Anolis sagrei: one gene and its partners. The protein of the gene in region 3 binds, or shares a complex with, the protein of the main gene of each other region. Links are inferred from orthologs where the notes say so. Each region holds a gene or a part of one and is shown on either strand. Other genes may lie near its edges.

The links. The genes of interacting proteins can lie anywhere in the genome.
Region 1: RBL2 (region 3) and TFDP2 share a complex: the UniProt entries of both Homo sapiens proteins name them as parts of the DREAM complex. The link is inferred for Anolis sagrei from reciprocal best matches to the Homo sapiens genes RBL2 and TFDP2.
Region 2: RBL2 (region 3) and LIN54 share a complex: the UniProt entries of both Homo sapiens proteins name them as parts of the DREAM complex. The link is inferred for Anolis sagrei from reciprocal best matches to the Homo sapiens genes RBL2 and LIN54.

The regions. Positions count from the first base shown.
Region 1 is NC_090023.1:236,981,353-236,989,698, forward strand, and holds the start of TFDP2 (transcription factor Dp-2), read right to left. Parts: upstream 3,372-8,346; 5' UTR 3,300-3,371; coding exon 3,297-3,299; intron 1-3,296. UniProt on the Homo sapiens protein: Can stimulate E2F-dependent transcription.
Region 2 is NC_090025.1:17,418,750-17,426,704, forward strand, and holds the start of LIN54 (protein lin-54 homolog), read right to left. Parts: upstream 3,372-7,955; 5' UTR 3,039-3,371; intron 1-3,038. Other genes in the region: COPS4 (COP9 signalosome complex subunit 4), read left to right, coding at 3,505-3,578, 6,922-7,001, 7,383-7,534. UniProt on the Homo sapiens protein: Component of the DREAM complex, a multiprotein complex that can both act as a transcription activator or repressor depending on the context. In G0 phase, the complex binds to more than 800 promoters and is required for repression of E2F target genes.
Region 3 is NC_090028.1:34,141,398-34,149,507, reverse strand, and holds the start of RBL2 (retinoblastoma-like protein 2), read right to left. Parts: upstream 3,432-8,110; 5' UTR 3,414-3,431; coding exon 3,114-3,413; intron 1-3,113. UniProt on the Homo sapiens protein: Key regulator of entry into cell division. Directly involved in heterochromatin formation by maintaining overall chromatin structure and, in particular, that of constitutive heterochromatin by stabilizing histone methylation.

The DNA.
Region 1 (8,346 bases), on a different chromosome or scaffold from region 3:
GGCTTACAGTGGCTCTGGTCCTTCTTAGAGGGCCGTACCCAGAAGGTGGTGCTGGGGGACCCATGGCCGTTGCTCTGTGGGGTTCCTCAGGGTTCCGTTTTGTCCCCCATGCTGTTTAACATATACATGAAACTGCTGGGAGAGGTCATCTGGAGTTTTGGAGTACGGTGTGGCCTATATGCAGATGCCACCCAACTCTACTACTCCTTTCACCTAATGCCAAGGAAGCTGTCCTGACCCTAAACCAATGCCTGCTATCAGTAATGGACTGGATGAGGGCAAACAAATTGAAACTTACTTCAGACAAGATAGAAGTACTCCTGGTCAGTCGAAAGGCAGACCAAGAAATAGGGATTCAGCCTGTGCTGGATGGGTTACCATTTCCCTAAAGACACACGTTTGCAGTTTGGGGGTCCTCCTGGATTCAGCATTCAACCTGAAGACTTTGGTATCAGTGGTGGCTACGAGGGTGTTTGCACAATTAAAACTTGTGCACCAACTGTACTCATTCTTTGAAAAGCCAGATCTGGCCACAGTGGTACATGCCTTAGTTACATCCTGCCTGGATTACTGTAACATGCTCTACGTGGCAGTGCCTCTGAAGAGTGCTCGGAAACTTCAGCTGGTCCATAGAGCTGCAGCCAGGCTGCTAACTGAGGCTGGCTACAGGGAGCAGACAACCCCCCCCCCCACCCATTGCAGCAGCTTCACTGGCTACCAGTCTGTTTCCGGGAACAATTCAAAGTGCTGGTTATGACCTTTAAAGCTCTAGACAGTTCAGATCCAGGCTATTGGGCTGATCGCATCTCCTTGTATGAACCTGCCTGAGCCCTGAAATCTTCAGGAGAGGCCCTTCTCTTGGTCCCACCTCCATCTCAAGCATGATTGGTGGGTACAAGAGAGTGGACCTTTTCCGTGGCTACCCCTTGACTCTGGAAACCCCTCCCCAGAGAACCCTGCTGTCCTTCTGGCAGTAGACTAAAACCTTTTTATTCAGGAAGGCTTTTAAATATGAAGGTTTTTAAGATCAATTCAGGGGTGCTGTGGTTTTTAACTTTGAATTTATTTTAATAGTTTTTAACTGGGAATTTAAAAATACTGTTTATATTTAATCCTGTTTTAATGTTCGCATATCTGTATATTTTAAATGGTTTTGCAGATGCTTTTATGTTAAGCTGCTTTGAGTACCCTTGGGGGGAGATAAAGCAGGATAGAAATAAATTTAATAAATAAATAAATAAATAGTTAAATGCACACAAAATTATTAAAAACTATTAAAATACTTAAATGACCACACAGCATCTCCCGGCTCGTACTTAAAAGCTTTCTTCTTTAAAAGTTTGCAGGAATGAAAAGATGTTAGCCTGCTGCTGAAAGGACAACAGGGAGGGTGCTATTCTGGCTTCACTAAGGAGAAGGTTCCAGGGGCAGCCACTGAAAAGGCCCTCTCTGGCATCCTCTCCAATCGTGCCTGGGATGGTGGTTGGACTGAGAGAAGGGACAGTTGTTGGGGTGATCCGAGAATATTTTTTACTGCAGATCCAATTTTAACCCCAACTAGGCATTGCAAGGATGAAAAAGATGCACTCAGCCACCCTAGAAATACGTCTAGGAAGCATAGGTGGTGCTGGGGAAGGGAAGGGAGGAGAGAACACAGCATATTTTAAAGCACAGTGTACTTGTATAAAATCAGAGTAACCACAGAAAGGGGGCAATTCAGACCTGACCATTCTCTCAATCAAGACTTCATACTGTTGGACTACATACAAGACCCTGCATCGTAAACAATAACTTTGGATATAATTATATTTATTTAATTTATGTTATAAAATATTTCTACATTGGAATTCATTTAGGTGGTTACATCATGTACCCAAAGACTGCTACAAGGGGCAATCAATGAGATTTGGCTCCAGAAGCCCCCCATCCCATCCCAGCCCCGTTTATACCAAAACCTGTGGATGCTCAAGTCCCATTATACAGGATGGACTTGACGGACCCAATTTGAAATCACTATCACTATAAACGCAAGCTGCTCATGAATGAAACTCTTACCACTTGAAAGGTATAGTTTTTCAAATTATTACTGCAAGATTACTCTCCCAGTATACAAACAGAGCATAGCCTCAGTCATAAGGCATTTTGTGTTCCACTATTGTCCCAATATTGTCCATAAAGCAGGTGGAGGGCGCATAGTGTTTTTATAAAATGGTCAGTAAATCTTGATAACTTGATTACTCTTTAAACTGTTGGTAACTGTTTGCGTAATTGTAACATGTTGCCATTGTGAACTGCGCTGTTTTGAAATTGGGGCCGTTATTTTGAAGTACTCTGTATTCCATTGTATATAATGGGACTTGAGCATCCACAGACTTTGGTATATAACAGTATATACACTATGTATCCTTATATAAAATGATGAAGAACTCAAACATGTACCAGCCTGAAGATATGTGAAATGGCAGGAGGCTACAGCAAGGTATGGCTACACATCACTGTTAATGCCTGGTGGCAAAAAATAAAGTTTGTTTTGGGGATTTTTTCTCAATATTTTTGAGCCATGGTTGGCTAAATCTATGGATGCAAAATGCAAGGGTGTGTGTGCGCGTGCGCATGCTAAAAATGGTAGAGGACAGTTGTTTCCATTACAAAAATAAAGTTTTTTTTCTGCTACTAGATCAAAAATCAGTGTGCACATACATCTTTTTATGGCTCTCTTGTGTAACATATAGAATAAGTGTTAACTGGATAAAATAGGCATGGTAAAATATCTGTGTATTATTATTTTGTTCTTCTACTACTGTTGGATACAAACCAATTACCTGCATTTATCAGAAATGTGATTTTTAACAAAAATCAAGTATACAGTGGGAATGTGTTGATGCTAAGCAAAGAAGCTATTGCAGGAGGAAAACAGGAAACATTGTGCAACTGTTTCTTAGTTTAACCAATTAGTACAGCTGCACAAAGCAGTTCTATTACAAAATTGCATGTATTTGGAACAGTACTTGTACTGGTGATTTGAAATAAATTTTTTATAGAGCATATTGAGAAATGTGTATTTCATAAAGTACCAATTCTGATGTTTGCTTCAGAAGCCCTTATGTACTGGCATGCAGCACAACACATTAATATATGGCAATTATTTATCCCCAGAAAATACACAAGTCCATCAATATCTTTCCATAATGAAGAAACCTATGAAAAGGTGTCTGAACATTTGTAGCTGTGAATACAGAACTGCTATTCTGTATAGTTCTACTAATTAAAAGCTGTTAAAGGGCAACAGTACTTACCATTTGGGGTCTGACATTTAAATTTACTGATGATAATGTTTTGGACAAAATCTTAGTCGATGGTAGACACTGGCAGGAATGTATTTTCTAAAAAAAAGCAAAACGTGAACCTTATTTCCTTATACTCATAACCACATAACCACTATACAAATATTTTGTCTTCTAGATATACCAGTAGCTATATTATTCAGGAGACCATCACAGCAAATAAGAAACAAATTATTTATTTAATTTATATCTCAATTTTCCTTACTACATCTCAGTTTTCCTTCTTTCTAGGACTCAGGAAAAGTGATTTGGCATTGAAAAAAACCCAAGTTATCAGGTAGAAACTGTCTGAAGTAGATTTAATTCAGTGATTTGAAACATTGCATGTAGATTTTGGCTTCTACTTTCTCAGTAATGTCTGTTGAAATGCGAGTGATAAATAGAATCTAGTCGCAGTTACCCAATTCGCAGGGCCTAGGTTTGGAATTCAGAGCATGGTATTGAATGTAAGAATGGTATTCCTCTAACATTAAAGCCACACAGTGTCAAGGTATCAAGCCAGTAGATTTAAATGGGGTTTTTTTTGGTCAAGCACAACTGGATCACTATGTATTTCTATTAGAAAGATCGCCTTGTTGGAAAGACTGTGTGTCCCTCAGAATTAAACTTTTAATCCTCCAACCCCCTCCCCAAATTACACTGTGAGTTCTTTAGAACTAAAGTGTTCCAACTTTTTGGTGGTGATGGTTGATTTATAGTGATTTTTGATTTACCATATGCAAACATCAGTAGGTCTCTCCCCCCCACCCCCCCATGAGAATCTTAGGCACTGTTTTTTAGCCACATATGTTACAAGACCACAAGGGCCATCTAGTCCACTCCCTGGAATTGAGGAACACACATTCAATTCTTGTGTCAGCTTTTCTGCTTTTAAAAATTGATATGCTCAATGCTTATAGACACAGTGATGTGATACAGCATTTTCAGTTAGCATTTTTATTTTAACTCTGATCAGCAGCCTTTTTCGGAGTAAGTGGCTGTCATAAAGCAACAACAGGAGGCTTATTTATTATACATTATATAACTTTGTGAAATCTGGTTAAATTTCTTTTAGTGGGAACTGCCTGTTCAAATTTCCTGAGGGACACCTTTTGTATTGCTGCATCACGTACTTCATTAGCATAGGTAGGAGTGGTGCCTGAACTCCTTCCCTTTCACACACACACACACACAAAATAAATCAACCATCCCCACTAAGTGTTGTCAGGGCAAAAACTAGCAGTACAATACATTTTGCTTGACAATCTCCAGCTCATCTAAGATAAAAATACAACTGAACATCAGTAGCAAAAGTCACTGCTTTAGAACAAGTTTCATTCCATCTTTGTGGTTACGGGAAGCATCTGTCCATGTGTCCAAATGAATGCTCCAGTGAAAGCTTTGATACTGGGTCCAATTAAAAATTAAAAAGTGAAGTGTTACTTGGAAACAATTTAGTTAACTTATTTAGTACAAGAACTCTGCTGTTCAGGATATTTACTACTTTAAAATAAAAATAATGTATTTTATTAATTGTTATTATTTACTTCATTTTAATCCCGCCTTTCTCCCCCCAGAGACTTGTTTAACTGATAAGGCTTGATTTTTTTGACCATTTGACATCCTATGGTAGCTTATCAAACTGAATAAAATGTTGCAATTAGCTATGGCATCTTTAAATTTAAAAAAAGAATATATGAGAAATACCCTTTAATTTAAGAACTTATATTTGCAACAACTTACATAAACTTTGTATCAGAAATGCATTTAATTCATGAATCAAGTAAATACTTTATGGATCTAAGCACACTTGGCTTGCTTCCTGTAAGTGCACATTAGACCAAATGTACATTTCTGAACAGTAAAAGGAAAGGTTATTTTCTTGCCCATAAAAGTAAGCCAGCTTAATGGCAGTTGCAGCCGAAATGATTCAAGCATCAAATGGTGCCACCCACACTGAATCATAATAACCCATAAGGTAATGGAATGCTCTGCTGTGTTTATGAGCCAACAGTAACCAAGCTCCTAGGACAGAACCAACATTTTCAAATCACAAATAGCCAAGGAAAAAACCCCAGAATTAAGATGCTCAACACCATCCAGTAAACTGTTTCTTCTGCACATACTGATTGCTAGTAATGCTTTTTTCTTGTTTCCCTCTGAATTAGTGATTTTATGTGACAAAATGCTTTGTCAGCTCTAAAATTCTGGCTTTAACTATTTTGTTTTATTTTCCCTTCATGGAGCCACAGTCAGTACCTTTCATTCAAAACTAACACCCTAAGCTATCTGGAAAGGAAAACAGTAGATGTAGTTCAATTTGGAACTCCTATTCATGTGACTAATTAGAGTAACTTCATCCCTGCTCCTGTCCCAAGTATACTACAGTTTTTTCATAAACAACATTACAGGAACAATATATTTTGCAAACATTACACTCTTATTATATTCTGTTCTAAGCTGTTGGAAGTAAAAGGTCTCAATTCTGTTTTGTAAAATACTTACATTGCAAAGAAAACCCAAACTGGTCTTTCCTCTTGTCTAAAGAAGAATGCCTCTTACTGCATCAGCAACACATCAGCCTTTGTAGCCATTCAAAGGAAACTTGAGCTGGTGAGAGACATAACAAATCAAATGCAGAGCTATGCCATTTTTAAGAGTTGGTATCTAAAGACACCGGATCTGTCTGATCTTAGAAGCTAACTAGGGTCACCACTGATTAGTACTTGGGTGAGAAACTGCCAATAAATACAGTGTGCATATGCTCTATTTCAGAGGAAGGAATTGGAAAACCACCTCAGGTTATTCCTTCCCTAAGAAAACCCTGTGGTAATGCATGAAGTTGCACATACATACACATCTAGACACAAAATCAATGCTTTTGAAAAATGCCCTCAATACCAAATGTGAGTGGGTTTACATTCTTTGTTTCTCAAAATATTTTCAAGCACTGTGGGGGTGGAGGAATGAAAAGTGGGAGAACATTAATATCTTTGGATACTGTACTACTTTGGTCATCATGCAAAGTAGTGATGCTAATATGATTTTTTTAAAAACCCTGCAAGTGCAACAGGAGCTTCCTTTACTATTTCTGATACAGTCCTTCTCACTTTCAAAGGAACAAGCACTTTTAAAACTGAATGTACTGTGACAAAAATTCCAAATAAAGTACAATTTCCCCAAAAGTTTTCTATCCATAAACATATTAGTTCTTGGGATTTTGAGATAAAATATGGAACAGTGGAAAAGACCTGGCTTGACTGATGCACAAGAAAAAATGATCCCCAACTTTCAATTATATCAAAATTGGTGCATTTATTTGGGTGAGCGGAAGTGGTAACTGAATACCAACAGCTAAATAACAGGGCCCAAGCACAAAAGTTGGACTGAAATAAGGCGATTTCATGAACCTAAACTTTTCAGTTTATTTGTTCTGGAGATTATTCTATAAGGTGGAGAGCAACTTGATGTGAGTCTCGGCCGAGGGACAGGTATCACTTCTGTGACAACTTCCTCATCTCGAGGGACAGTCCAATAGGATGCCCTTATCGGTTCATATTCTGGAAGGCCAGCCCAGGATCCCTTTCCTTAAAGCATGTGTTTTTATAATGGAGAGTAAGTTGTTGTTGTCCCAGCCAACCCTAAGAGTGATCTCTTTCCCAGCCTTCCCACAAGTCTCAGAACCTAGTGAGGTCATTCCAGGGGTAATCCTACAACCAAAAAGGAGAGAGGTGCCAAGGTACCAACTAAATTTCCCCCCACAAATCATTATCTGCATTGAGAGGGATAGACTTATTTAGGACACCACCCAAAGCCCATTTTCCCATTCCATCAAGATGCAGTGCAGGTAGGTGAAAAAACCCTTGCTAAAGGGGAAGGGGTTTCCTATCCGGCCCATTATGCAGTGAGGGCAGAAGGATTGGTCAAGCAAAGGAGGGACAGGGTGTTAACCTGCTTATATGTAATTGGCATCTCCCCCTGTCACATATTGGGGGGCCAACGGGACTGCCTAATCTCATGTGATTAGAGCTGCCCTCTGATTTGTGGAGGAATTCAGTTGGTCCTTCCATCCCTATGTAACTGTGCTGCTGTGACCTCTCTTCTATGGAAGAGAGCAGTTCCAGTGTACTTCAGAGACCTAAAAAAAATTAAATATAACATGTGACACTAAGAATCTATTGGTGGCCAACGTACACACACACACATACGGATATATTATTTCAGACTGGTTTCAGACAATTTTTCATTTAGAGATGGATGTAGCAGCTCTTCAACAATAACAGGGACAAAAAGTACTTATCCGATAGGGCTTGGATCCCCTTGATTGTGCAAACATCTTAGTAAGCCCATTTAAGATTATGTTGTCAAACGAGTAATTCTGTTTTTTAAGTGTCTTGTAAAGATTTTTTTTCCCCCAGCATATGACTGAGGTCCAAGGAGTGACACCACAAGTGACCTACTGGGTGACACCAACCTTAGTGATGCCACTACTGGACCATGTCCTTCCTGGTTCATAAAAGTAGCCAGAGGGGGTTAGATGACTGGGTAAGAGGCATAGCTAATTTCCTCACTATGGCGAGGCAGCGCCACAGCCTGCTTTAAAGAGGTCTGGTAAGACCTTTACTCGAAAAAAAAAGACCCTACCATCTTGGAGAATGACTGATCAGTCTCCAATATTCTTTTCTTGAGCAAACTTATAGGCCTCTAGGTTCCAGGGATTCCAGAATGAGACAGATTACCGGTACATTTCAATCTGGCTTCTGGTCTGGTTATAGGACAGAAACTGTTTTGATAATCTTGATGAATCTTGATGACTAATGCAGGGCATTGGACTGGAGAAATGTGTCCCTATTTGTTCTGCCAAGCTCATCAGCAGTTTTCAATAAGATGGTATCCTTCTGAGTTGCTTCTGTGGGATGGAATTTGGAACCGCTGTTTTGCAACTGAGGGGAGAACTCAGAAATGATTATGGGGGTTCTTGTTCAACTACTTCCTATTAAGACTGTCCCATATGTTATTTAAT
Region 2 (7,955 bases), on a different chromosome or scaffold from region 3:
CAGACATTACCAGGAGTGACAAAGGTTGGCCCATGCCTAATCTACACTGGTCATCTAGTCCAACCTCCTGCCATGCAGGGAAAACAATCAAAGCACCCCTAACAGATGGCCATCCGTCCACTGTTTAAAAGCTTCCAAGGAAGGAGCTTCTACCACACTCCAAAGCAGTCAGTTCTTAGTACGTAGCATGTTTTGGAAATGTTAGAATTTCTCTAGAACATGGCCATATAGCCCGAAAAAAACTACAAGAACCCAGTAATTCCGGCCATGAAAGCCTTCGACAATACAAGGAAATGTTTCTGTTGGCATATTCTGGGACTGTATTCTTGAACAGTCATCTCATTCCGGGGAGGGCGCAGATGAGCTCCCTCTGTCAGCTCCAGCTCCCCATGTGGGGACATGAGAGAAGCCTCCCACAAGGATGGCAAAACATCAAAAACACCTGGGCATCCCCCTGGGAAACGTCCTTGCAGACGGCCAACTCTCTCACACCAGAAGTAACTTGCAGTTTCTCAAATTGCTCCTGATACAAAAAAATACACATCTGATTCTTGCCAAATACTTGGGGGGGGGGGCTTCTTATATTATTTCTAATGGTAACCTTTAGTGCTGATTTGTAAAACTTCCCTTTATAGCAGAGCCTTTGTTTTGGTTTCACCAGTTGCTTAATGCTATTTCTGGCTCTGTCAAAACACACAACACCCATGATCAACAATCAAGGAGCAAATATGCTAACATCCAGTTCACTATGGAAAAAGGAAGGAAGACTGCCTTTTCTAGATGTCCTAGTCATCCGTAAACCAGATCAACAATTGGATCACACAGTTTACAGAAAACCCACACACAGAGATAGATATCTACATAAAAACTCCAACCATCACCCAAGTCAAAAAAGAAGCACCATTAAAGCCTTGACAGACAGTGCAAAAAGAATCTGTGAACCCCACCTCCTCCAAGATGAACTGAACCACCTCAACTGGGCTCTCCAGGCCAATGGATACTCCACCTCAGACATCAGGAGAGCTTCAAGACCAAGAACAAGCCACGAGAGTACGGTAAAGATGAAGATCCACCCAGAGGAAAAGTGTTCCTGCCATACATCAAGGGAACCACTGACCGCATAGGGAAGCTGATGAGAAAACACAACATACAAACTATCTACAAACCCACCAAGAAAATCAAACAAATGCTACGTTCAGCAAAGGACAAGAGGGATCCTCTCACCTCTGCAGGAGTCTACCATATACCATGCAGCTGTGGACAAGTCTACATAGGGACCACCAAACGCAGCGCCCAAACACGAATCAAGGAACACGAAAGGCACTGCAGACTACTCCAACCAGAGAAGTCAGCCATAGCAGAGCACCTGATGAACCAACCTGGATACAGCATATTATTTGAGAACACAAAAATGCTCGACCACTCTCACAACCACCATGTCAGACTACACAGAGAAGCCATTGAAATCCACAAACATGTGGACAATTTCAACAGAAAGGAAGAAACCATGAAAATGAACAAAATCTGGCTACCAGTATTAAAAAATTCTAAAATTGCAACAGCAAAACAGCAGGGAGAAAAACAGGCAGGGACATCTAATCACCTTTCAAGAAGAGTTTGCTCCAGGCACTGTCAGCCCATTGTATGCTAATCAAGGTGGTCAGTGGAAAGATTCACACCCAGCCCAACTTACAAAAGCCCCTTTGTCTCACCCTGGCCATTCCACAGATATATAAACCCCTTTTTTCCCATTTCCAGTAGACCTCACCTCTGAGGATGCTTGCCATAGATGCAGGCGAAACATCAGGAGAAATGCCTCTAGAACATGGCCATATAGCCCGAAAAAACCCACAAGAACTGAGTGATTCCAGCCATGAAAGCCTTCGACAATACATTAAATATGCTATTTGTTTGTATTGGCATCGTATCGGTGCCCAATGTAAGGCATTGAATTTTGCCATTATTTATGTGTAAACTGCTTCGAGTCCCCCCAAGGGTGAGAAAGGCGGTACATAAATACTGGAAATAAATAAATAATTAATAAATAATAAATTTCTGTCCCTGGGTTTTTTTTTGGTTGTTGTTGTGTCAGGAGCGACTTCAGAGACTGCAAGTTGCTTCTGGTGTGAGAGAATTGGCCGTCTGCAAGGACGTTGCCCAGGGGATGCCCAGATGATTTGATGTTTTTATCATCCTTGTGGGAGGCTTCTCTCATGTCCCTGCATAGGGAGCTGGAGCTGACAGAGGGAGCTCACCCTCATTTTCCCCGATTTGAACCTCTGACCTGTTGGTCTTCAGTCCTGCTGGCACAAGGGTTTAACCCACTGTGCCACGGGGGGGGGGGGGGGGTTAAAATCCTCAATTCACGTTTATGTGGCACCAATGCTATGGGAAGTGGAAGTAGCACGGAGAAATCAATAGAATGAGTACAGATAAAGAGGTTATCTCATATTACACTAGGTAACAAAATTTGGAAAAAAAAATCTGTCGGTCTTCAGTCCTGCCGGCACAGGGGTTTAACAGGGCTCTGTCCCGGTCAAAACTCATAACACCCACAATCAACAATCAAGGAGTGATTAACAAGTTTTGGAGCTATCAACAAGCATGTGTCCTATTTAAATGCCAAAATGAATGTATGGTTTCAGTTGATGTGTCAGATATGCTCCTGCAAAAACAACAGATTGTCCACAGGGAAAAATTACACGGTGTGCAGTATGGATTAGGCCTGGGCCAACTTGGGCCCTTCCTCCTTCCAGGTGTTTTGGACTCCAACTCCCACAATTCCTAACAGCCGGCAGTGTAAATACACAAGGCCTGGGCCAACTTGGGCCCTCCCTCCAGGTGTTTTGGACTCCAACTCCCACAATTCCTAACAGCCTACCGGCTGTTAGGAATTGTGGGAGTTGAAACACCTGGAGGGAGGGCCCAAGTTGGCCCAGGCCTTGTGTATTTCCCTACTGTTAGGAATTGTGGGAGTTGGAGTCCAAAACACCTGGAGGGAGGGAGGGCCCAAGTTGGCCCAGGCCTGGTGTATTTACCCTGTCCCGTAATGCAGTTGATATGAGGCACCTGTCACTCCAGGGCGCGTTTCCCGTCAGGCTTCTCCTCCGAGCACCAGGCCTTCCTTCGCCCTCAGGCTGCCGTTAAACCCTCGCGGCCAGAAGCGCAGCCCTCTCTCCCCCGCCTCCGCTCTCTCCTCCTCCTCCTCCTCTCCCTTCTCTCCTTCTCCCGGTTCCGTGTTTGTTCAAAATCACGCGCCCAGCGCCATTCCGCCGCATCCCATAATAGCTCGGCAGCGCCGCCGTCTTGGCAACGGCTTCGGCGTCATCACTCTTCTCCCGCCTTCTCCAAAAACACAGCCACTTCCGGGTTGAAAGCGTCACTGTGCGTGCGTGCGTGTACGCGCGCGCGCTCGAGAATGACGCAGAGTCCGCCCTCATTGGTTTCTGAGGCGACGGAGGGGGCGTGGTTATTTTTCCCTCACCGGAAGTGTAGAAAAGAAAAATGGCGGCGGCGGTGAGGCAGGAGTTGACGCAGCTCATGAGCTCCAGCGGCTCCCACAAGGATTTAGCCGGGAAGTAAGCGACGGCTTCTTGGTTTTCGATGAGGGAAGGCGGAGCGGGGCAGGAGAAGCTCGCAAAAAGGGAAGGGAAGGCATTGTATTGTCGAAGGCTTTCATGGCCGGAATCACTGGGTTGTTGTAGGTTTTTTCGGGCTATATGGCCATGGTCTAGAGGCATTCTCTCCTGATGTTTCGCCTGCATCTATGGCAAGCATCCTCAGAGGTAGTGAGGTCTGTTGGAACTAGGAAAAAGGGGTTTATATATCTGTGGAATGACCAGGGTGGGACAAAGGACTCTTGTCTGTTGCAGCTAGGTGTGAATGTTTCAGCTGACTACCTTGATTGGCATTTGATGGCCTGGAAGTGCCTGGAGCAATCTTTTGTTGAGAGGTGATTAGATGTCCCTGATTGTTTTCCTTCTGCTGTTTTGCTGTTTTAATTTTAGAGTTTTTAATTTGCTTGCCACAGATGCAGGCAAAACGTCAGGAAATAATGCCTCTAGAACATGGCCATATAGCCCCCAAAAAAACCTACAACAACTGAGTGATTCCAGCCATCCTCAGAGGTAGTGAGGTCAGACTACACAGAGAAGCCACTGAAATCCACAAGCATGTGGACAATTTCAACAAAAAGGAGGAAACCATGAAAATGAACAAAATCTGGCTCCCGGTACTAAAAAAAAACTCTAAAATTACAACGGCTAAACAACAGAGAGGAAACAAACAAGGACATCTAATCACCTCTCAACAAAAGATTGTCCCAGGCACTGTCAGGCCATGAAATGCTAATCAAGGTAGTCAGTTGAAACATTCACATTTAGCTCCCGCAGACAAGAGTTCTTTGTCCCACCCTGGTCATTCCACAGATATATAAACCCTTTTTCCTTGTTCCAACAGACCTCACTATCTCTGAGGATGCTTGCCATAGATGCAGGCGAAACGTCAGGAGAGAATGCCTCTAGACCATCGCCATATAGCCCGAAAAACCTACAACAACCCAGGGAAGGCATTGATTCAGTGGTTTAAACACGGCCTGGCCCGTCCCTTGCCCATCTTCACTGTAGAATGAATAATAATAATCTATATAAATAAAAATGTAATGTTCGTTTGTGCTATCCATAGAACTCACAAACCACTGGGGCAACTGGCACCAAATTTGGACACGATACACCTAACAACCCAATTTATGTCCTTCATTCAAAAAATTGATTTTGTCATTTGGGAGTTGTAGTTGCTGGGACTTGTAGTTCACCTACAATCAAAGTACATTCCGAACCCCGTCAACGATGGAATTGAACCAAACTTGGCACGCAGTTCTCCCATGACCAACAGAAAATACTGGAAGGGTTTGGTGGGCAGTGTCCTTTGGTTTTGGAGTTGTAGTTCACCTACATCCAAAGATCACTGTGGACTCAAACAATGATGGATCTGGACCAAACTCTACAAGAATACTCAATATGCCGAAATGTGAACACTGGTGGAGTTTGGGGGAAATAGAATCTTGACACTTGGGAGTTGTAGTTGCTGGGATTTATAGTTCACCTACAATCAAGGAGCGTTCTGAACCCCACCAATGATAGAATTGGGCCAAAGTTCCCACACAGAACCTCCATGATCACAGAAATTACTGTGTTTTCTGATAGTCTTTGGCAACCCCTCTGACACAGCTTCGCAACCCCCCCAGGGGTCCTGACCCCCAGGTTGAGAAACACTGCTCTAGAACATGGCCATATAGCCCGAAAAAACCCAAACCCTGTAAAAGTTAGACAGTCATACACACATCTCAACATGTGTGTGTGCAATCTCACTGAGACCCCCTCCAAAAAAAATACTGCTTTATTGGGTCCCTTTTCATCTTCCAGGTTCTCTAATTCACTATGGATTCATCACATTTTGTCAACATCCTACCTCCACTTAGCCAAGCAAACATTTTCCTTCTCTTCTATTAATTATTTTTACATCCCCAGCTGTTAATGCCCTTTGCATGTGGTGTTATCGTTTCCCCTTCTCCTTGCTCTTGAACCTATTATCCTTGAGAGTTTTATGTACAGCAAACCATCTTTCAAAACAATTTCTCCCACTGCAACCAAAAGGCTTTCTCTAAGACAATTACTAAGTTGAACGTGTTTATAAATTGAGCAAAATCTTGCTTTTCAGTGTCCTTCAATTATTCCAATTATTCTTCAATTATTATTAAAATCCCAGCTACATTCCCTACCCTGAAGGAGGTTGCATCTCTACTCATCAGGATCAGTATGTGTCACCTTCTCAAATGCCACCGCTTGCCCTTTATTAAACCTATGGTACTAAACATAGTATTCCCAACATAGTATTCCCATGAGGCATCACCATCTGATCTGTGGAGACTTTCTAGGAAATAAACAGGTGCAGTCAGTGGACACAAATATGGTGTCACCTATAGCACTTTGCTGTTGTTCCTCCGCATCAGATCCTACTTACTTACTTAGGTTATCCCTCATTGTCCGAGTATTTTGGCCTTTCAATTGTAGTGTCTTGGTGGTGGATACATATAATAATAATAATAATAATAATAATAATAATAAACTTTATTTCTACCCCGCTACCATCTCCCCGATGGGGACTCGGAGCGGCTTACATGGGGGCAAGCCTGGACAACATAATACAGCAATAAAATCAAAACATATACAATGGACAGCAACAACATTATCAAAATGATATTAAAATAATAATGTTAACCCCTCAGCTGAACAGTTGTTAGGATGTAATCTCCATCTCAGATGGAATTTACTGGTTGATTTACCCTGTTTAATGATTAAATTATTGATACATTTGTACTCCTGCCTTGTCTATACAGTGAGCAGTAGGAAATAGGAGTAAGATACTGGTTTTCAAAGTGTTAAAAATAACTATTTTCTTTCCAGCAAGTCATGTTTTTAACACTCCTGAAAATCAACAATCAAGATATTCAAATAGCACAGTGAGAAATAAGGTGACAGTTTTGTGGTTATGGCCTTTGCGTTTTGAATGTGACAGGAAGTATGTGTGACATCCAAAATATAGACATGGTGGCCACAGCACTGTCACTTTCTTTTCCTCATAAACAGTTTCACCATTTTTGCTTGATAAAGAGTTCTGTCAAGCTTTGAAAGCAAGTGGAATGTACTTTGTGCCTTTCCGTTGGCCTAGTAAAGGTATCAGCACAGAAGAGAGTTTTGTGCTTTGTTGTGTTTTTTTTTAAGGACAAATTCCTTAAACCTAAGTTATGTTTTGACTGTTTACATTGACTACTACTCTCATTCCACCCAAATGTAAAACTCATTCTGAAAATAAGCCAGTATTGTTAATTGTGACTGATTTATTTTTGACATTTTCTGGCAGATATCGGCAGATATTGGAAAAAGCAATTCAGCTCTCTGGAGTCGAACAGTTAGAGGCATTAAAAGCCTTCGTAGAAGCAAGTGAGTTTCAACATTGTTTTTCAGATGTTGTTAAATGCCAGAGTTATAAATGCCGAACTGCAGGACTTGCATTTGTGTTTGTGTGTAGGTAAACAGTTTTTCATTTGCCTGTTTTTGTGTCATGGAATTGCTAATGATGCTTACTCTTGTTAATCCAGGAGTACTTGGACCACATGAGACAAATGAGTTGAAAATTTGACAATGTACCACTGTTGGTGTAATATACAAAAGCTCATTTCATTTAGTTTGGCTGTCTGAAAATTAAGTTTGCAATCAACAAAATATAATTTAGTCTTGATAACAGCATGATTATGGTCCAAATGACAAGCCTGATTTAAAGGTATGTTTTTTTAAAAATTTCTCATTGTGTCCCTTATTTAGTGGTGAATGAAAATGTCAGTTTAGTGATTTCGCGCCAGTTGCTGACAGACTTTTGTACCCATCTCCCGAGCCTTCCTGACGGCACAGCTAAAGAAATCTACCACTTCACGTTGGAAAAGATCCAGCCTCGTGTAATTTCATTTGAAGAGCAGGTAAGAACAAGAAATCAGGGGCTCTTGATTTCTAAAAGGCTACTCTGTAGGGTTTTTGCCTAGATTTGTACAAGCGCAATGGGTTAAATCCTTGCACTGCTGAATCTGCTGACCTGAAGGTTGGCGGTTTGAAGCCAGGAGTCAGGGTGAGCTCCTGCTGTTAGCCCTAGCTCCAGCCAACCTAGCAGTTTGAAAATAGGCAAATGTGAGTAGATCAATAGATACCGCTTCGGTGGGAAGGTAATAAAGGTGCTCAAGCAACCACGCCAGGAACATGACCAGGAGGTGTCTACGGACAACATCTCCTTGGCTTGAGAATGGAAAAGGTGTACCTCACCATGGCCAGAGTTGAGCACTGCCTCCAGAAGCCAGAGATGAAAGGGAAAGCCTTAACGTATGTTCTGTGTATTTGTGTTCTCTT
Region 3 (8,110 bases):
AATAATAACAGTTAACAACAAGAGGGCTGCTGTTCCTTTATGGCTTGTGTAGAAGAGGGGAATTAACAATAATAACAATAACAACAGGACTCCTGCTCCTTTAAGGTTTATATAGAAGAGGGGATCCAATAACAACAACAGGGCCCCTGTTCCTTTAAGGTCTGCATAGAAATGCGAATTTAAAATTAATAATAACAATAACAATAAGACTCCTGTTCCTTTAAAGTTTGTATAGAAGAGAGTATTCCATAATAACAACAGAGATCCTGTTCCTTTAAGGTTTGTATAGAAGAGGGGAGTTAATAATAACAATAATAACAACAGGGCCATGTTCCTTACAGGTTTGTATAGAAGAGGGGATCCAATATCCACAACGAAAGGGCTTCTATTCCTTTAAGGTTTGTATGGATGAGGGAATTTAATAATAACTAGCCATCCCCTGCCATGCATTGCTGTGGCCCGGTCTGTGTATATGTGTATATGTGTGTGTATATATTTTTGTATATATGTGTGTTTGCGTATATATATATATATATATATGTGTGTGTGTGTGTGTGTGTGTGTATTTGTGTGTTTATATGTGTGCATGTATATGTGCATGTGTGTATATGTGTATATTTGTGCATATATATACATGTGTGTGTATGAATGTATACATGTATATATGTATATGAGTGTATGTGTATATGTATATATGGTGTATTTTGGGGGTTTTTAAGTCTGTTCGCTGGGGTTTTGTGCGCGCGCGTGTGTTTATGGGTGATGGACACTCATTGGACTGTTAGGTGTATTGTGTCCAAATTTCGTGTCAATTCATCCAGTGGTTTTTGAGTTCTGTTAACCCCACAAATGAACATTACATTTTTATTAATATAGATAATAATAATAACAATAATAACAGGACTCCTGTTCCTTAAAGGTTTGTACAGAAGAAGGGATCCAATATGATCAACAACAGTGCTTTTGCTCCTTTAAGGTTTGTATAGAAAAAGGGATCCAATATCAACACCACCACCACCAAGTCTGTATGGAAGAGGGAATTTAATAATAAAAAATAACAACAGGACTACTGTTTTTTAAGGTTTGTATAAAAGAGGAGATCCAATATCAACAATAACAGGCACCCGTTCCTTACAGGTTTGTATAGAAGAGGGGAGATAATAATTATAATAACAATAATAACAGGACTCCTATTCCTTTAAGTCAGTGTTTCTCAAGCTTCCTAATGCTGTGACCCCTTAATACACTTCCTCATGTTGTGTTGACCCCCAACCATAACATTATTTTCGTTGCTACTTCATAACTGTGATGTTGCTCCTGTTATGAACCGCAATGTAAATATCTGATATGCAGGATGCATTTTCATTCCCTGGACCCAATTTGGAACAAATACCTGATACATCCACATTTGAATACTGGTGGGATGGGGGGTGGATGGGTTAATTTGTTATTTTGGAGTTGTAGTTGCTGGGATTTATAGTTCACCTACAATCACAGAGTATTCTGAACTCCACCAAAGATGGAATTGAACCAGACTTGGCACACAGAACTCCCCTGACCCAATTTTGAATACTGGTGGGGTTGTGAGGGTGATTGATTTTGTCATTTGGGAGTTGTAGTTGCTGGGATTTTTTCACCTACAATCAAAGAGCATTTTGAACTCCACCAACAATGGAACTGCACACAGAACTCTCATGGCCAACAGAAAATACTGGGTTTGTTGGGCATTGACCTTGAGTTTTGGGAGTTGCAGTTCACCTACATCCAGAGAGCACTGTGGACTCAAACAATGATGGATCTGGACCAAACTTGGTACAAATACTCAATATGCCCAAATGTGAATAGTGGTGAGGTTTGGGGAAAATAATATATTGTCGAAGGCTTTCATGGCTGGAATCACTAGGTTCTTGTGGGTTTTTTCGGGCTATAGAGCCATGTTCTAGAGGCATTTCTTCTGACGTTTCGCCTGCGCCCAGACGCGCATCAAGGAACATGAAAGTCACTGCAGACTACTTCAACCAGAGAAGTCAGCCATAGCAGAGCACCTGATGAATCAGCCTGGACACAGCATATTATTTGAGAACACAGAAATGCTGGACCACCCTCACAACCACCATGTCAGACTACACAGAGAAGCCACTGAAATACACAAGCATGTGGACAATTTCAACAGAAAGGAAGAGACCATGAAAATGAACAAAATCTGGCTACCACTATTATAAAAAACTCTAAAATTACAACAGCAAAACAACAGAGAGGAAACAACCAGGCACATCTTAACACCTCCCAGCAAGAGATTTTCCCAGGCTCAGGCAGGCCTTCAAATGCTAATGAAGGTGATCAGCTGAAACATTCACACCTAACTGCAGCAGGGAAGAGCTCTTTGCCCCACCCCAGCCGTTCCACAGATATATAAACCCATTGTCCTAATTCCAACAGACCTCACTACCTCTGAGGATGCTTGCCATAGATGCAGGCGAAACGTCAGGAGAAATGCCTCTAGAACATGGCCATATAGCCCGAAAAAACCCACAAGAACCTAATAGGACGACTGTTCTTTAAAGGTTTGTATAAAAGAGGAGATCCAATATCAACAATAACAGGCTTACAGGTACTGTATACAGGTTTGTATAGAAGAGGGGAGATAATAATAACAATAATAACAAGAATGAGATAACACCTTAGGACCCTGGATGGAAGTTGATGTAGACCCATCTTAATAGGACGACTGACCACTATAGTGTTTACATATAGTGTTTTTGTAATCTGTGATATATGGTATTTTAATGAGTGTTTGTTTTTATGGCTGGAAACCGGGCTGAGTCCCTCAACGAGGTTGAGAAGCTCGGTATAGAAAACTGTGAAATAAATAAACAAACAATAATAATAATAATAATGACTTAAAGGACTCCTATTCCTTTAAGTTTTGTATGGAAGAGAGGGTCTAATGTCAATCACAACAGACCTCCCTCAACCAGTCTGGCCCCGCCCCCTGGCACAAGCCCCGCCCCATTAAGGAAGGCCCCGCCCTTCTGTCACAAGCCCCGCCCCATTAAGGAAGGCCCCGCCCCTCTGGCACAAGCCCCGCCCCCTCTCCGAGAAGCCCCTCCCACCTCGAGAGTGTAGTTCCTCCTCATGCCCTGGAAGCTGAGCCAGGCCTCGGCCCGGGCCCTCTCGTCCATGTTGAGGCTGCAGCAGAGCTCCTCGTAGCGCTGCCGGGTGTCTCCGTCGTCGTCCTCCGCCTCTTCCTCCTCCTCATCCTCCTCCGGGCTGCCTTTCCCTTCCTCCTCCTCCTCGGGCGCCTCCGCCGCTCCCTCGCCGCCTCCCCCTCCGTCGTCTCCGCCGCCCAACATGGTGTTGACTGAGGGGCGTCGTGAGGGGATGGCGCTCGCGCACTGCCGCTCACCACGCATGCGCCGCTGGAAGGGAGGGATTGTTTTTTTCCTTCTTCCTCCGCGTTCGAATCTAAACACCTCACCCCTCCCGTCCTCTGCGCTGATTGGGTGCCAGGGGTAGAACTCCCGCCAATCAGCGCGCTGCTTGTGCGCAGGCGCGCCTGTGGGGGCTTTTAAAAAATAAATGCCGTCACTTTTGCTGCGGACTACATTTCCCACAAAGCTTCGCGCTCCCGGATGAAAACAGTAGTGCAGTGATTCTCAACCTGGGGGTCGGGACCCCTGTGGGGGTCACGAGAGGGTGTCAGAGGGATCGCCAAAGACCATCAGAAAACATAGTATTTTTTGTTGGTCATGGGGGTTCTGTGTGGGAATTTTGGTCCAATTCTATCACTGGTGAGGTTCAGAATGCTATTTCATTGTGGGTGAACTATACATCCCAGCAACTACAACTCCCAAATGCTGAGGTCTATTTTCCCCAAACTCCACTAGTGTTCACATTTGGGGATATTGAGTATTTGTGCCAAGTTTAGTCCAGATCCATCATTGTTTTTGGCCACAGTACTCTCTGGATGTAGGTGAACTACAACTCCAAAAATTCAAGGTCAATGTCCACCAGACCCTTCCAGTATTTCCTCTTGGTCATGGGAGTTCAGTGTGCGAAGTTTGGTTCAATTCCATCGTTGGTGAACTTCAGAATACTCTTTGATTGTAGGTGAACTATACATCCCAGCAACTACAACTACCAAATGACAAAATCATTCCCCCCAACCCCACCAGTATTCAAATTTGGGCGTATTGGGTATTTGGGCCATATTTGGTCCAGTGAATGAAAATCCATCCTGCATATCTGATATTTACATAACGATTCATAACAGTAGCAAAATTACAGTTATGAAGTAGCAATGAAAATAATGTTATGGTTGGGGGTCACCACAACATGAGGAACTATACTAAGGGGTCGCGGCATTAGGAAGGTTGAGAACCACTGCAGTAGTGGGAGGTTGTTGTAGGTTTTCCAGGCTATATGGCCATGTTCTAGAGCAGTGGTTCTCAACTTTCCTAATGCCGCGACCCCTTAGTACAGGTCCTCATGTTGTGGTGACCCCCCAACCATAACGTTATTTTCGTTGCTATTTCATAACTGTAATTTTGCTACTGTTATGAATTGTAATGTAAATATCTGATATGCAGAAAGGATGTATTTTTAGTCACTGGACCAAATTTGGCACAAATACCCGATACGCCCAAAATTTGAATACTGATGGGGTTGGGGGTGATTGATTTTGTCATTTGGTAATGCTGGAGTTGCTGGGATTTATAGTTCACCATAAATCAAAGAGCCTTCTGAACTCCATCAATGATGGAATTGAATCAAACATGGCACACAGAATTCCCATGACCAAGAGAAAACACTGGGAAGGTCTGGTGGACATTGACCTTGAGTTTTTGGAGTTGTAGTTCACCTACATCCAGTGAACACTGTGGACTCAAGCAATGATGGATCTGGATCAAACTTGGCACAAATACGCAATATGCCCAAATGTGAACACTGGTAGAGTTTGGAGAAAATAGACCTTGCCATTTGGGAGTTGTAGTTGTTGGAATTTATAGTTCACCAACAATGAAATAGCATTCTGAACCCCACCAATGATAGAATTGGACCAAACTTTCCACACAGAACCCCCATGCCCAACAGAAAATACTATGTTTTCTGATGGTCTTTGGTGACCCCTCTGACACCCCCTTGCGACCCCCACAGGGGTCCCGACCCCCAGGTTGAGAAACACTGTTCTAGAGGCATTTTCTCCTGACGTTTCGCCTGCATCTATGGCAAGCATCCTCAGAGGTAGTGAGGTCTGTTGGAAGTAGGAAAATGGGTTCATATATCTGTGGAATGACCAGGGTGGGACAAAGGACTCTTGTCTGTTGGAGCTAGGTGGGAATGTTTCAACTGGCCACCTTGATTACCATTTAATGGCTTGGAAGTGCCTGGGGGAATCTTTCTTTGAGAGGTGATTTGATGTTTAGAGTGTTTAGAGTGGCTTGTAGGTCTTCTGAATGCACACAGACAACGTCATCAGCATACTGTAGTTCTATAAGAGATGTTGTTGTAACCTTGTTTTTGGCTTTCAGTCTGCTGAGGTTAAATAGCTTGCCATCTGTTTGATAGATAATTTCCACAGTAACAGTCAGAACTTATCATGGAACAACAGACTGGTACAAGATTGGGAAAGGAGTACGGCAGGGTTGTATACTCCCACCCAACCTATTCAACTTGTATGCAGAACACATCATGCAATGTGCGGGGCTTGACGAATGCAAGGCTGGGGTGAAAATTGCTGGAAGAAACATTAACAACCTCAGATATGCAGATGACACCACTCTGATGGCCGAAAGCGAGGAGGAGCTGAGGAGCCTTCTAATCAAGGTGAAAGAAGAAAGCGCAAAAGCCGGGTTGCAGCTAAACATCAAAAAAACCAAGATTATGGCAACAAGAATGATTGACAACTGGAAAATAGAGGGAGAAAATGTGGAGGCCGTGACAGACTTTATAGTTCTAGGTGCAAAAAAAATCAAAAGATGTTTATATCTTGGGAGGAGAGCAATGACCAATCTCGATAAAATAGTGAAGAGTAGAGTAGAGACATCACACTGGCAACCAAGATCCGCATAGTTAAAAGCAATGGTATTCCATGTAGTAACCTACGGATGTGAGAGCTGGACCATAAGGAAGGCTGAGCGAAGGAAGATAAGACACTTTTGAACTGTGGTGCTGGAGGAAAGTTCTGAGAGTGCCTTGGACCACGAGAAGATCCAACCAGTCCAGGAAATAAAGCCCGGCTGCTCATTGGAGGGAAGGAGATTAGAGGCAAAGATGAAGTACTATGGCCACATCATGAGAAGACAGGAAAGCTTGAAGATAATGATGCTGGGGAAAATGGAAGGAAAAAGAAAGAGGGGCCGGCCAAAGACAAGATGGATGGATGGATGGTATCCTTGAAGTGACCGACTTGACTTTGTAGGAGTTGGGGGTGATGGCGGCTGACGGAGCTCTAGCGTGGGCTGGTCCACGAGGTCACAAAGAGTCGGAAGTGATTCAATGAATAAACAACAACAGGCCCAGAAGGATGGGGCTTCTGGGAGTTGAAGTCCAAAAACACCAATCAGGCCTTAAATCTCTCTATAAAAAGCCAAAGTGTCTTGGTGTTGCTTGGTTTGTACCACAAAGGCTCCTCCAGGGCTTGATGCATCAGGACCAAACTTGGCACACATTGCCTTCATGATCCAACCTAAAAATACTTGAGAGGTTTGAACTGAAAGAACCACTCTTTTCAGATCCAGAGCAGAGAAAGAAAGGAACAAAGCAGATTGGCTGTGGCTCTGTGAAGTGGTTCTCTATCAGGTGACTGGGGAATAAAGGAAGTGAAGGAGACTGGCTTTTGCTAGATGATGTGAATGCGGGAGAAGGAAAAGGAAAAGAGGAAGGGAAGAAATAAGTCACAGGAAGAGAAAAGGAAAGGATGAAGACAGGAAAAGATTGAAGAAAGAAAAGGGAAGAGGAAGAAAGTGAAGAAAGTAAAAGAAAGGAAGGAAAGGGACACAGGAAGGGAGTGAAGAAAGAAAAAGAAGGAAAGAGGAAGGAAGGAAAGAAACAGGAAGGGAGTGAAGAAGGAAAAAAGGGAAGAGAAAGGAAGAAAATTGACACAGGAAGGGAGTGAAGAAAAAAAAAGAAGAGGAAGGAAAGAAAAAAGGGACACAGGAAGAGTGTGTATAGAAAAAAGAAGGGAAGCAGAAGAAAGGAAGAAAAGAAAAGGGACACAGGAAGGGAGCGAAGAAGAAAAAAGGAAGAAAAGAAAAGGGACATAGGAAGGGAGTGAAGAAGGAAAAAGGGAAGCAGAAGGAAGATCATGACAGGGAGTGCAGAAAGAATGAAGGGAAGAGGAAGGAAGGAAAGACGGATATAGGAAGGGAGCAGAAAGGAGACAGGAAAAGATTGAAGAGAGAGAAAAAGGAAGAGAAGAAATAAGGAAGAGAAGAAATAAGGAAGAGAAAAAAAGGAAGAGAAGAAATAAGAGAAGAAATAATAAGTTGTATGAGGGATATCAAGGGAAGAAGGAAAGAAAAGAGGGAAGTCTATGAACAAATCGAGGAAGGAAAGAAACATTGAAAATGCATACTGGGAAGGTTAAGTGACATAGTCCTCACACACTTGGAGGTTGCAATAGACTGGAACACTACTGTTATTTTCGGTAATAAACTTTTGGCACTCAAGCATTGTAAGGGCTTGGACTGGATGGCCCTTGAGGTCTCCTCCAACTCTTCGATTCCATGAATAAATTCCCCAAATAGTGAATGGCTTCAGGAATCAACTGCTTTGCAAATCCGTACAACTGAACTTTGTAATGTACTGAGGCCAACATCATGGGTTGTCAAAGAATATGTTTAATAAAAAATAATTAAACTTCCATTTGCTCTATAGAACATCATAGAAAGTAATTCAATAAATTACAAAGGACTCTTAAGACGCTTGTTCAACTACAAGAAAGCAAAATCCGGACTACACAGAACACAACTGGCAAATATTGCAAAACGTTCAAAAGAAAAGAAACGGGACCAGGACAGACCATGAAGCCTGAAACGAGGGAGAGAAATACAAGGCAATAACAGCTAAGGTTCTTTAGTCACTACCCACATACACTTCTCCACCATAC